Danio rerio: one gene and its partner. The protein of the gene in region 1 purifies or fractionates together with the protein of each later gene. This does not show direct contact. Links are inferred from orthologs where the notes say so. Each region holds a gene or a part of one and is shown in the gene's direction. Other genes may lie near its edges.

The links.
Region 2: the proteins of nuak2 (region 1) and ppp1r12a purify together in Homo sapiens (affinity purification with mass spectrometry; 3 studies listed by BioGRID and IntAct, counting the BioPlex papers as one, with this or other methods). This does not show direct contact. The link is inferred for Danio rerio from reciprocal best matches to the Homo sapiens genes NUAK2 and PPP1R12A.

The regions. Positions count from the first base shown.
Region 1 is NC_133197.1:523,277-528,836, forward strand, and holds the start of nuak2 (NUAK family SNF1-like kinase 2), read left to right. Parts: upstream 1-1,697; 5' UTR 1,698-1,722; coding exon 1,723-1,881; intron 1,882-5,560. UniProt on the Homo sapiens protein: Stress-activated kinase involved in tolerance to glucose starvation. Induces cell-cell detachment by increasing F-actin conversion to G-actin. Expression is induced by CD95 or TNF-alpha, via NF-kappa-B.
Region 2 is NC_133179.1:22,104,584-22,109,591, reverse strand, and holds part of ppp1r12a (protein phosphatase 1 regulatory subunit 12A), read left to right. Parts: intron 1-1,326; coding exon 1,327-1,417; intron 1,418-2,353; coding exon 2,354-2,533; intron 2,534-3,041; coding exon 3,042-3,207; intron 3,208-4,450; coding exon 4,451-4,578; intron 4,579-5,008. UniProt on the Homo sapiens protein: Key regulator of protein phosphatase 1C (PPP1C). Mediates binding to myosin. As part of the PPP1C complex, involved in dephosphorylation of PLK1. Capable of inhibiting HIF1AN-dependent suppression of HIF1A activity.

The DNA.
Region 1 (5,560 bases):
CACCGGGGCCGGAGAGAGAGTGTGTGGTGTGTGTGTGTCAGCGCCTCAACACACACTCACACACTCTCAAACACACAGGAGCGCGCGCGCTACCGTTAACTGACGCTCGACGGCCGCGGTTCGGCTCCTCAGCACACACCCGGAGGCCGAACCGGGTCGCGGTTTCTGCTCGGCGGCTGTTCGGCACCTCGTTCCCTGCCGGCGGCCGCAGATCATCGGTAATCGCGGGCTCTGCGCTGCTTCGGCTCGGAACGGTGCACTTTTTCAGCACAAATACGGGAGTTTAGCGCTGCCAGCCGCCGCCGCTGCCCGTGCATTTGGAGAGAGGGACGGTCGCTGGGCGGGGCGAGGCTGCGAGCGGTGCACGCTGGGAAATGTAGTCCTCTTGGCGTCACAAACCCACGCGTAGTAATCAAAGCGTAGTTGTCGTTTTTTTTTTTTTTCATTTTATCTCTATTTTTTAACATTCATCTTTTGTAAGAACTTTCACCTCTCTGTTCTTGTAAACGTTTTTATCAATTAAAATAAACTGACAGATTTTTCCCCCTTTTTTAAGGATCAGTTTCACTCAGGCGCCATTGTTGTTTTGATTGTCAAGTAGCTCTCATAAACTGAACACGTCACACACGTGCAGCATTTCCATTAAATCACACTCATGTGTACACAGTGATGACGAAAGGGTGTTTATAAACTGCAAACCGCTCCTCACACACACAGACACACACACACAAATATGTAATTTGCAATGGCACATAAACAGCAATGTTTAGCCTGCGAATCTTCATGTGTAGGTTGTGTACAGCTAAAAACAAATGTCAATTGATCACAATATAATGATTTTCTGTAAGGCTAAGAGATAAAACAGCGTAAACAACATTTGCAGTACATACTTGAAGTGTAGTGTGGCACATCTAGGGCACATCTGTTGCGTTTACAGTGTCCTGGCGCCCTCTAGTGACGCAAACTCTTCTACAGTACCTTGTTACACTGTTAAACGAAAACTGTTTATATGATTACATTTGCATTATATTATACAATGTATAAGTACATTTCTTCATCTTAAGCAAAAAAATAATAATAAATAAATAACCCAGAATTTTTTAATAATAATAAATGAATAAATAAGAATATATATATATATATATATATATATATATATATATATATATATATATATATAAAAGTGGAAAAAAGGTCCGAATGCAATAGGTAATAAATGCCATCAGACCTTTATAAAATAAAAAATAATAATAAAAATTAATTTTTTTCGTAATACAATAATGTGATTTTCTAATAATTAATTAATTAGTATTTTCATAATTAATGATAAATGAAATATTGGGTTTAAGAAAAGCCGTGGCCTTTTTGGCAAAACTACCAAGTAAACAAGCTTCTTCGGGAATTTCCCTTTGATACACACCTACTACTGCACTTTCACTTTAATTAGTCAAACTGAATAAAGAAATGGGAAAGTTTTACAGCCGCACACTTTAAAGTCAACACAAGCGCCTTATCAGATAAACTAGACGATATTTGTGATCTTTGTTAATTATTATAAACGCGCTTCACTTCAATAAAGTCAGAGACAAAAAATAAGAGACACGCCCACCTGTAGATACACAATAAGGGGAGGGGCGGGCACTTACGGTCAGCACCACGCCCCCACTGTACTAGTGTCTCAGATGCTGCTGCGCGCCGGTGTGTTCGCGACGGCAGCGGCTCATGGAGAGTGTCGGTGCCCCGGAGGCGCCCGTAAAACGGCAGGCGGTGAAGAGACACCACCACAAACACAACCTCAAACACCGCTACGAGTTCCTGGAGACCCTCGGAAAGGGCACTTATGGCCGGGTCAAGAAGGCCATGGACCGGTCCGGCACAGCGGTGAGCAATAAACACCACATACACAACACTGAGGTAAAGTTACTTTACATTCACACATTCGGACTTTCTCCTTAAAATAATCTAATTTCACTAAAATATTTTTTTGCAAATTGATAATCATATTAGCAGCCGATCATATAGTGTTCACAGTCTGCTTCGAGTCTTACCTGTACTTTCAGACCGAATAGTAAGAGACGATGGTAAACAATAGACAGCATGCCACAAGTTATCACTGCCCGAATGCGCCAATATAAAATCAGCTAATTTCGCGCATTAAATGTGTTTCACATTAACACCGCGTTAAATGTGTTTCATAGTATTTATTATATATTACCTGAGTAAAAAAATCTATATTTTTTCCGGGTTTTCCTTCAGACTAATGTCAGTTAGAGTTTATATTTATCGTCATATTTTAAAGAACACGTTACATTCTATTTAACGTTACGTGTCTAGGTGTTTTCTAAATGCTTATTAACTGTCATGTGAAATCCTTATTCTTTGACTTGCACAGATTTGACACCTTATTTACACTGTATAAAATGGTCGGTTTTTGTCGTTAATCCAACCGTTGGATTCAAAAATTCTGTTAAATTTAAATGACACTTTTAAACCCAACGGTTGATTTTGTCCATATGAAAACCAGAAGGAAAATACTATTTATCTCCGATTCATCTAAATACTTATTAATTGTGAAGTGAAATAATTATTCTTTGACTTAAACCACTATTCTGTACACATTTGACAGTATTCATCTTATTTACACTGTAAAAAAAAAAAAAAAAAAAATTTAAATGACACTTTTAAACCCAACGGTTGATTTTGTCTGTATTCGACCAAACATTGGGTTACTTACAACACTCATTAAAATAGAATGAAAATGCTATTTAAGTGTCCCAGTCTTCATCAAAATACTCATTAATTGTCATGTAAAGATTCATTCTTTGACTTAAACCACTAGTTTTTACAGTTATTCATCCTATTTGCGCTGTATAAAATGCTGGGTTGTTGTAACCGTTAGTTTAATTTAAATGACATTTTTAAACTGAACGGTTAGTTTTTGTCCATATTTGACCAAACATTGGGTTACTTGCAACACTTATATTAAAGTGGAATAAAAATACTGTTTAAGTGTCTCAGTTTCTTCAAAATACTCATTTATTGTCATGTGAAATCTTCATTCTTTGACTTAAACCATTAGTCTTTACATGTTTGACAGTATTATTCATCTCTTTTAACTCTATAAAATGCTGGGTTGTTGTAATCATTGGATTAACTTTTTCAGTTAAATTTAAATGACACTTTTTAACCCAATGGTGAGGAGACACAGTAGCTCAGTGGTTAGCACTGTGGCCTCACAGCAAGAAGGTCGCTGGTTGGAGTCTTGGTTGGGTCAGTCGGTGTTTCTGTGTGGAGTTTGCATGTTCCCCCCATATTGACGTGGGTTTCCTCCACAGTCCAAACACACGTGCTATAGGGTAATTGATGAACTAAATTGGCTGTACTGTATGAGTGTGTATGGGTGTTTTCCAGTACTGGGTTGCGGCTGGAAGGGCTTCTGCTGTGTAAAACATATGCTGGAATTGTTGGCGGTTCATTCCGCTCTGGTGACCCCTGATGAATAAAGGGCCTGAGCCGAAGGAAATGAATGAATGAACTCAGTGGTTAGTTTAGTTCATATTTGACCAAACATTGGCTTTTACAACATGTATTGCAAACATGAACACAATTAAATACTATTTAAGTGTCTCAGTTTCATCAATATAATCATTAATTGTCATCTGAAGTCATTATTCTTTGCCTTAAACCACACATTATTATTCTTTTTTATTCAAAAGTATTTTATTTCAACAAACAAAACCCGTCACACACATTTACATTTAGGTTCTATAAAAATAAATAAAACATTTTAAGATAAAATACAAATAAATAATAATATTAAGTAAAACATATTTTACTCTCATATACAGTTGAAGTCAGAATTATTCGCTCCCCTCCGTTTATCTTTTTTCCCAATTTCTGTTTACTGAATATCAGATTTCTTCAGCACATTTATAATCATAACAGTGTTAATAACTCATCTCTAATCACTGATTTATTTTCTCTTTGCCATGAATACAGTTAATATTATTAGACTAGATATTCTTCAAGACACTTCTATACAGTAATCAGGCAAGTTATTGTATAACTATGGTTTGTTCTGGAGACTATCGAAAAAATACAGCTTAATGGGGCGAATAATATTTGACCTTAAAATGCCGTTTAAAAAATAAAAAACTGCTTTTATTCTAGCCGAAATAAAACAAATAAGACTTTCTTCAGAAGAACAAATATTATCAGACACGCTGTGAACATTTCCTGAATCTTTCAACACCATTTGGGAAATATTAAAAAAAAAAAAATCAAAGGGGGCGAATAATTCTGAATTTAACTGCATATAAGGGAAGAAAAGAAAAAAAAGAAAACAGAAAAAAAAAATACAAGAACAGGTTCTACTCCTCTAAAATGACTGAGGGGTCCATCTCCTTTATGTGATCTAAAACAGGTTGCCAGATGAGAAGAAACATCAGTACAGCCTCCTACAGTATATCGTATTTTTCTAAGGTCAGGTGGTGTTGGAGTTCCATACGCCATTGCTTAAAGAGTGGAGGAAGTTTTCCTATCATTTCAGCAATATCAATCTTCTAGCTAAAGCGAAGCAAAGGCAATCACATTTATCTCGCTTTTATTAAACCACAAGCTTTTATTCTAAACATGTTTTGTTGTAAACCAATGATTGGTCATATATGTACATGTTATCTAAATTTAAATGACACTTTTAAACCCAACAGTTGGTTTGGTTCATATTTAACCTTGGGTTACTTGAATGAAAATAATGAATTGTCATGCGAAATCTTTATTCTTTGACTTAAACCTCTAGTTGAAAATACTAGTTTACTAACCACATTAAAATACTATTGAAGTGTCACAGTTTGTCCAACACACTCCTTTATTGTCATCTGAAGTCTTTATTCTTTGCCTTTTAACTCTTTATTGTAAACCGATAGCTGCTTTTCCACTATCGTGGAATAATCCAATAGCCTATTGTTTTATTCATGGCTAGAGTAAGAATTTGTCTACAGCTTGTTAGTTTATTGTGAAGACAAAAATAATTAAAATAGCAAAAATAAAATGATAAAAATACAAAGATAAAAGAGCAGCATTTTGCTAAATATAATAGTGCTTTATTTGCTTTAGATCCTGATATTTACGTGTTGTTTCATATTCGTTTATTATTTCACTTGCTGCATTCGTTATTTTATCATTATAATCTTTTGATGTAAAGCCGCTGTGTAATTTAATTGATTGTTAAAAATGAAATAATTTAAGTGCTCTATCTTTTATAGTGAAAGTGCCCGCTCACTTTTGACAAGGCCTGTCCAAAAATATACTTCTGCCACTGTCCGCTTGTTAAGTGTGACGTCACGCGAAGCGGCCTCCGGGTCCAAGCGCTCTATTCAACTGAATGGGGAGACTCATGAAACGGTAATAATAAACGTTTACAAAGCGATTTAAGGCTTTCGAAAATCACGATGGCAGTATATATGTCCATGCCTGATATCTGATGGCCAGAAAGTGATTTTTTAAAATAAATTGTTACATGTTTGGTATTTGTTATGCAGCAAGCCCAGAGATTGTTGTG
Region 2 (5,008 bases), on another chromosome or scaffold:
CAGCTAGCATTTCAGAGGTGTTATTGCAGAACAACACAGCCTGCCCGCAGAAGTATAAATGCAATCGATTAGTGCAGATGTTTAAACCAGCCTTTAGGGATGCTCTGATTAACTAGAAATCACTTTATTTGACCTAATATTTATTGTTTGTTTGTTTGTTTGTTTTTATATATATTTTTAGGTGTATGTTGTGTGTTTTGTCTTTGTTTGTTTGTTTGTTTTAATTTTAATTTGTTTTGGGGGGGTTTTTGACTAGCTTTTTGTGGTGCTTTATTTGGTAAATATTTTATATTTATTTTACATTTTTTTGGTTTGTTTGGTTGCTTTAACTTTAATTTATGTTTTGTTATTTTTAGTTAGTTTCTTTGGGATTTATTTTGTGTATTTAGTGGTGTTTTTTGCTATACATGTTATTTTTTATTTTTTATTTGTTTATTTGTCTGTCTGTTTGATTCCTTTTTGTTTTTGGTTGTTTATTAGTGCTTTGTTTTTTTTTATTTTAATTCATGCTTTATTATTTTTATTTAGTTTTTTGGTATAGTTTTTTTGTTTTGTTTGTTGTCTGGAGTTTTTTGGTACATATTTTGTGTACTTTATTATTTGTTTTTTTGTTTCATTTTTGTTTTTGGTTGTTTATTAGTGCTTTGTTTATTTTAATTTTATTTTTAGTTAGCTTTTATTGGTATTTGTTAGTTTGTTTTGTCTATTCTTTGTTTTTATATATATTTTATATTTACTTTTTTATTTTTATTATATATTTTTTTTCTTTTGGTTGTTTAGTAGTGCTTTGTTTTGGTTTGCTTTTTGTTTTGATTATTTGTTCATCATTTAGTGTTTTTAAAACTACTAGAAAGAAAACATCCAAAATACATGTTTAGATGTTTCATTCATTTATTCAATTTATGTCTGTTAATTTATAATCACAATATATATTTAAATGCTTTTTTCTCAAATAGTTTTTAACATATTTTTTACATTTCTGTTACAAAGTGAATATTTGTTGTACTTATTTATTTGGTTCTTAATTAAAATGACAATAAACAACACGACATTCCATAACACAACCTAGGCAATAAGTGTGCAATCTGAACATCATTTTAGGAAAATTACGATAGTCAACAGAAAGCTTGCAAAGTACTTTTATGATTTGTACCAAGATTTGCTGATCATTAAACAACACATTGTTTTGTAGTTTCTAATAAAGTGGAAACTTTCCTACACATTCTTCCAAAGCCTTTTTTTATGAAAACTGCTTGAACATAAGCATGTGTTGCTTCAGCTGTGTTTAACCTGCAGGGCTGTGTGTGTGTGTGTTTGTGTGTGTAGATCGTACCTCACTCCAGTACGAGATGAAGAATCTGAGTCTCAGAGGAAAGCCAGATCCAGACAGGCACGACAGTCCAGGAGATCTACACAGGCAAGTCTAGACACTCATCTAATAATAGACACAAGTGCAGAACAGTTTACAAACCATTGGAAGATTTTATTGGGTTTAGCTTCAGCTTTTTAGTTTATTATAAACCAGGGTTTTGAAATGTGGTGGGAAACTATTGGACAAATTAGTGTTTATAATAGAGGAGAGATTGACCAGAAGCTTTAAAGAAAAATCACTAACTAAATGTAATAATTACCAGCTCTAAAAAACCACTATAAACATTACATTATACATGATTTACTTGTGTGTTACGTTATCATGTGGTAAGACCTATTTTTAGATAATGTAGGTAGTTAAATGTTTAAAATGTGAATCATCTTCCATCTTTATTGTACTTTTAGTTTTAATTCAATAAGTCTAATTATATTCATATTATTATTATTATGATTATCATTAATAATACAGATTGAAATTTACAACATCAGTGCAAAATCAGCTTTTTATTATGCAATTTTATTTAATTAATATTAAAACCCAAATTTTATTTGTCTAAACATTATTTGAAAAGCTAAGTTTGATGCATTTGTAGAGCTGAAATGCTAATCTCTTTGTGCTTTTGTGTATAATTGTAATAATAATAATAAAAAATGTTGCATTTTTAATAAAATTGAATTAAAAGCAATAAATATGAATTTTTTTTAATAAAAAAAGTTTAATTTAAAATATTAGTATATTCTAATGTTATTACAATTTTAAAATATGTGTGATATGTATTTAAAACCTTTTTTTACCATACACTGTCCAAATCTTTAATAAAATTGTGTATTTGTTTCATGTAGTATTAGCAAAATGTTAGAACATTACACTTTTTTTTTTTTTTTTTTTACAATTACACTGATCATGGGTCTACATATCTTGTCTTATTTTAGCAGAAATGAACAACATAACACTAACCCTTTAAACTTGTCATTTTTTTAGGGTGTGACATTGACAGACCTCCAGGAGGCCGAGAAGACCATCGGTCGCAGTCGCCCCACACGGCCTCGAGAAGATGAAAAAGAAGAGAAGGAGAAACAGGACAAGGAGAAACAGGAGGAGAAGAAAGAGACCGAGACCAAGGAGGATGACTACAGGTCGCGCTATCGTAGCTTTGAAGAGGTTAGAGAAACTCCCAGTTACACTTCTGTGTTACTACTAGCGGCTACTTTGTTTCAAATTATTGCTTACTCTTTTTAAGTTTCCATTCAAAAGAACTGAAACTAATCATATAAAATGCAGAGACATCCAGATCTGCATTTGAATCCATATACATCAATAACGCTACTCTTGGTATTTCAACTTAACTTAAGTATCACAACCATATTTCAACCGTATTTTGTTCCTTTGGATTAATTTTCTCTATGTATTTCCTATACAGTAAAATAATATTCAGAATGTGTTAGCAATATTGCTCTGAAAATGTTTTTTTTTTTTTTTAATTATAGTCATTATTTAAGGTTTGCTAAAAATTTTTTTTTATTAAGTTGCCTTTTAATTAATGATGGATGAACTGTGGGGAGAATAAGGACACTTCATTGTACATAGTTTTTTTTTTAAAAATCATTTTTTTTTTACAGTTTAACAAGTAAAATAATCCAAGTTTCTCATTTTGCTTTTTGTCCTTCAGAAGTATCGCACCTCGTTGGCCTCCAGCACCACAGCGTCCTCCACCATCCCTTCATCCTCATCCAGTAGCTCGTCTTCTCTGTACAGCACCTCGTCTCTGAACCGACCCAACAGCCTGACGGGGCTCACTTCAACATACAGCCGATCTACACGCGACACCGACAGAGGTACACAAATATCAACAAATATTAACAAATATGAACTGGCCAGTTAAGTTGAACATTTATGGCAAGTCAATGCAGCTGAATAGGGTAGAAATAATCATCTCCTTTACATGTATTTATTAATCAGACCCTTTTATCCAAAGCAATTTACAAATGAAAAAATCACATGACTTTATGTACATGCTGGAATTTATTTTGTAAATGTGTTTCTTTTCCACATTTTTTCTTCTAAGATAAAAAGTTCTACTCAGTTTTGCGCATAAGTATTTTCTAAAATGTATGTGCATTTTGATGTCTCTTTGGCAATAATTTCTATGCAAAGTCAAAATTCTTGTTTTTGGCATATTAGAGTGAAAAAAGTGAGCATTTTGGGTATCTGTTTATCACTCCATAATTCAGAAAACACTGGAAGTAGAGTAACAATTTGTGTTTTGTTTGGTTGATTATTTAAGAAAATATTCCTCTACAAAACCCATTAGAATATAAGAATAAAACTGAAATCAAACTCCTCTGCTGATGTGGAGATTTATTGCTCAATGCAGAAGAAATAACTCATTTTTGAGTACTAGCTTTTACAAATATTTATTATAATTGCAATCTAAATTTAAAAAATGCTTTTGTTCCATTAGACTTATATTTTTTTAAGCAAATCTCAAAAATGACAAGTGAATATTTTTTTTCCTGTGTGTGTGTGCGTGCGTGCATGTATATAGTGAAGATGGTTTTGATATTTTGTTTTGATACATATTTTAGTTACCTTTTTTAAACCATCATACTTTTAATTATAATTTTTTTAAAAAAAATTTTTCGCCCAGGACTTAAAAAGCACACAAGCCTTTGTATTGTATTGAAATAAAAAAAATTATTTGCTGATTTTAGTGTTGAAAACCGTTTTATTTGATGGTTGAAATTGAAATCGTTGTCACTTTTAATCAATCCAGTAAATTCTTGCTGAAAGAAATATACATTTCTTAAAAATAAATACAGAAATTGCACAATAGTGTATTTGGTTTGATATGCAGCCAGTTTATATTAGTTACACTGAAACCCACAAACCATAACAGTATACAAAGAATACTGGCATTAGGCTTTCAATTCATTTTTTGACATTTATTTTTCTTCCTTCAGCTTGCCCAGGATTTCTGTCACAGTCTTAAATAAAATGGGGATTTCCACTTGTGCTTTAAGTGTATTGTTAGTGTTTTGGTGTACTCATAAAAATATCACGTGTCTGTTTCCTGCCCAGAATCTGATCGAAAAGAGAAAGATGAGGATAGAGACGGTGATGACAAGTCTCAGCCACGCTCTATACGCGACCGCAGACGACCTCGAGAGAAAAGACGATCCACTGGAGTGTCCTTCTGGACCCAGGATGTAAGAGAAACCTCCTTTGCATGAACGCACACACACACGGTCTTTCCTATGCTTAAAACATCCTAGCAGATTTATGTTCAGCATTTAAAACTATTATGTTTATAAGTATTTTAGATTAATTCTGATTAGTTAATGGGAAAGAAAGTTGTTTACGCCAATGCATTTATGTAAATTTAGTGAATAGTGACTGGTTTTAAAATGTAAAGGCAAGACACTGCAGGGAATTGGGGAAAAACTTACCATACTTTGACTCACAAAGGCCTTTTTTGTAACAGGTTTTTTTTATCTTATGTATAAATATGCATAAATAGGTCTTATTAAATTGAATATGCACACATTTGCATAATCCTCTGTTGTGATGTTACTTTCTTTTTACAACTTCAATTAAATTAAGTCTGGCTGACTTCATCATGTTGTAAATGTTTTTGGA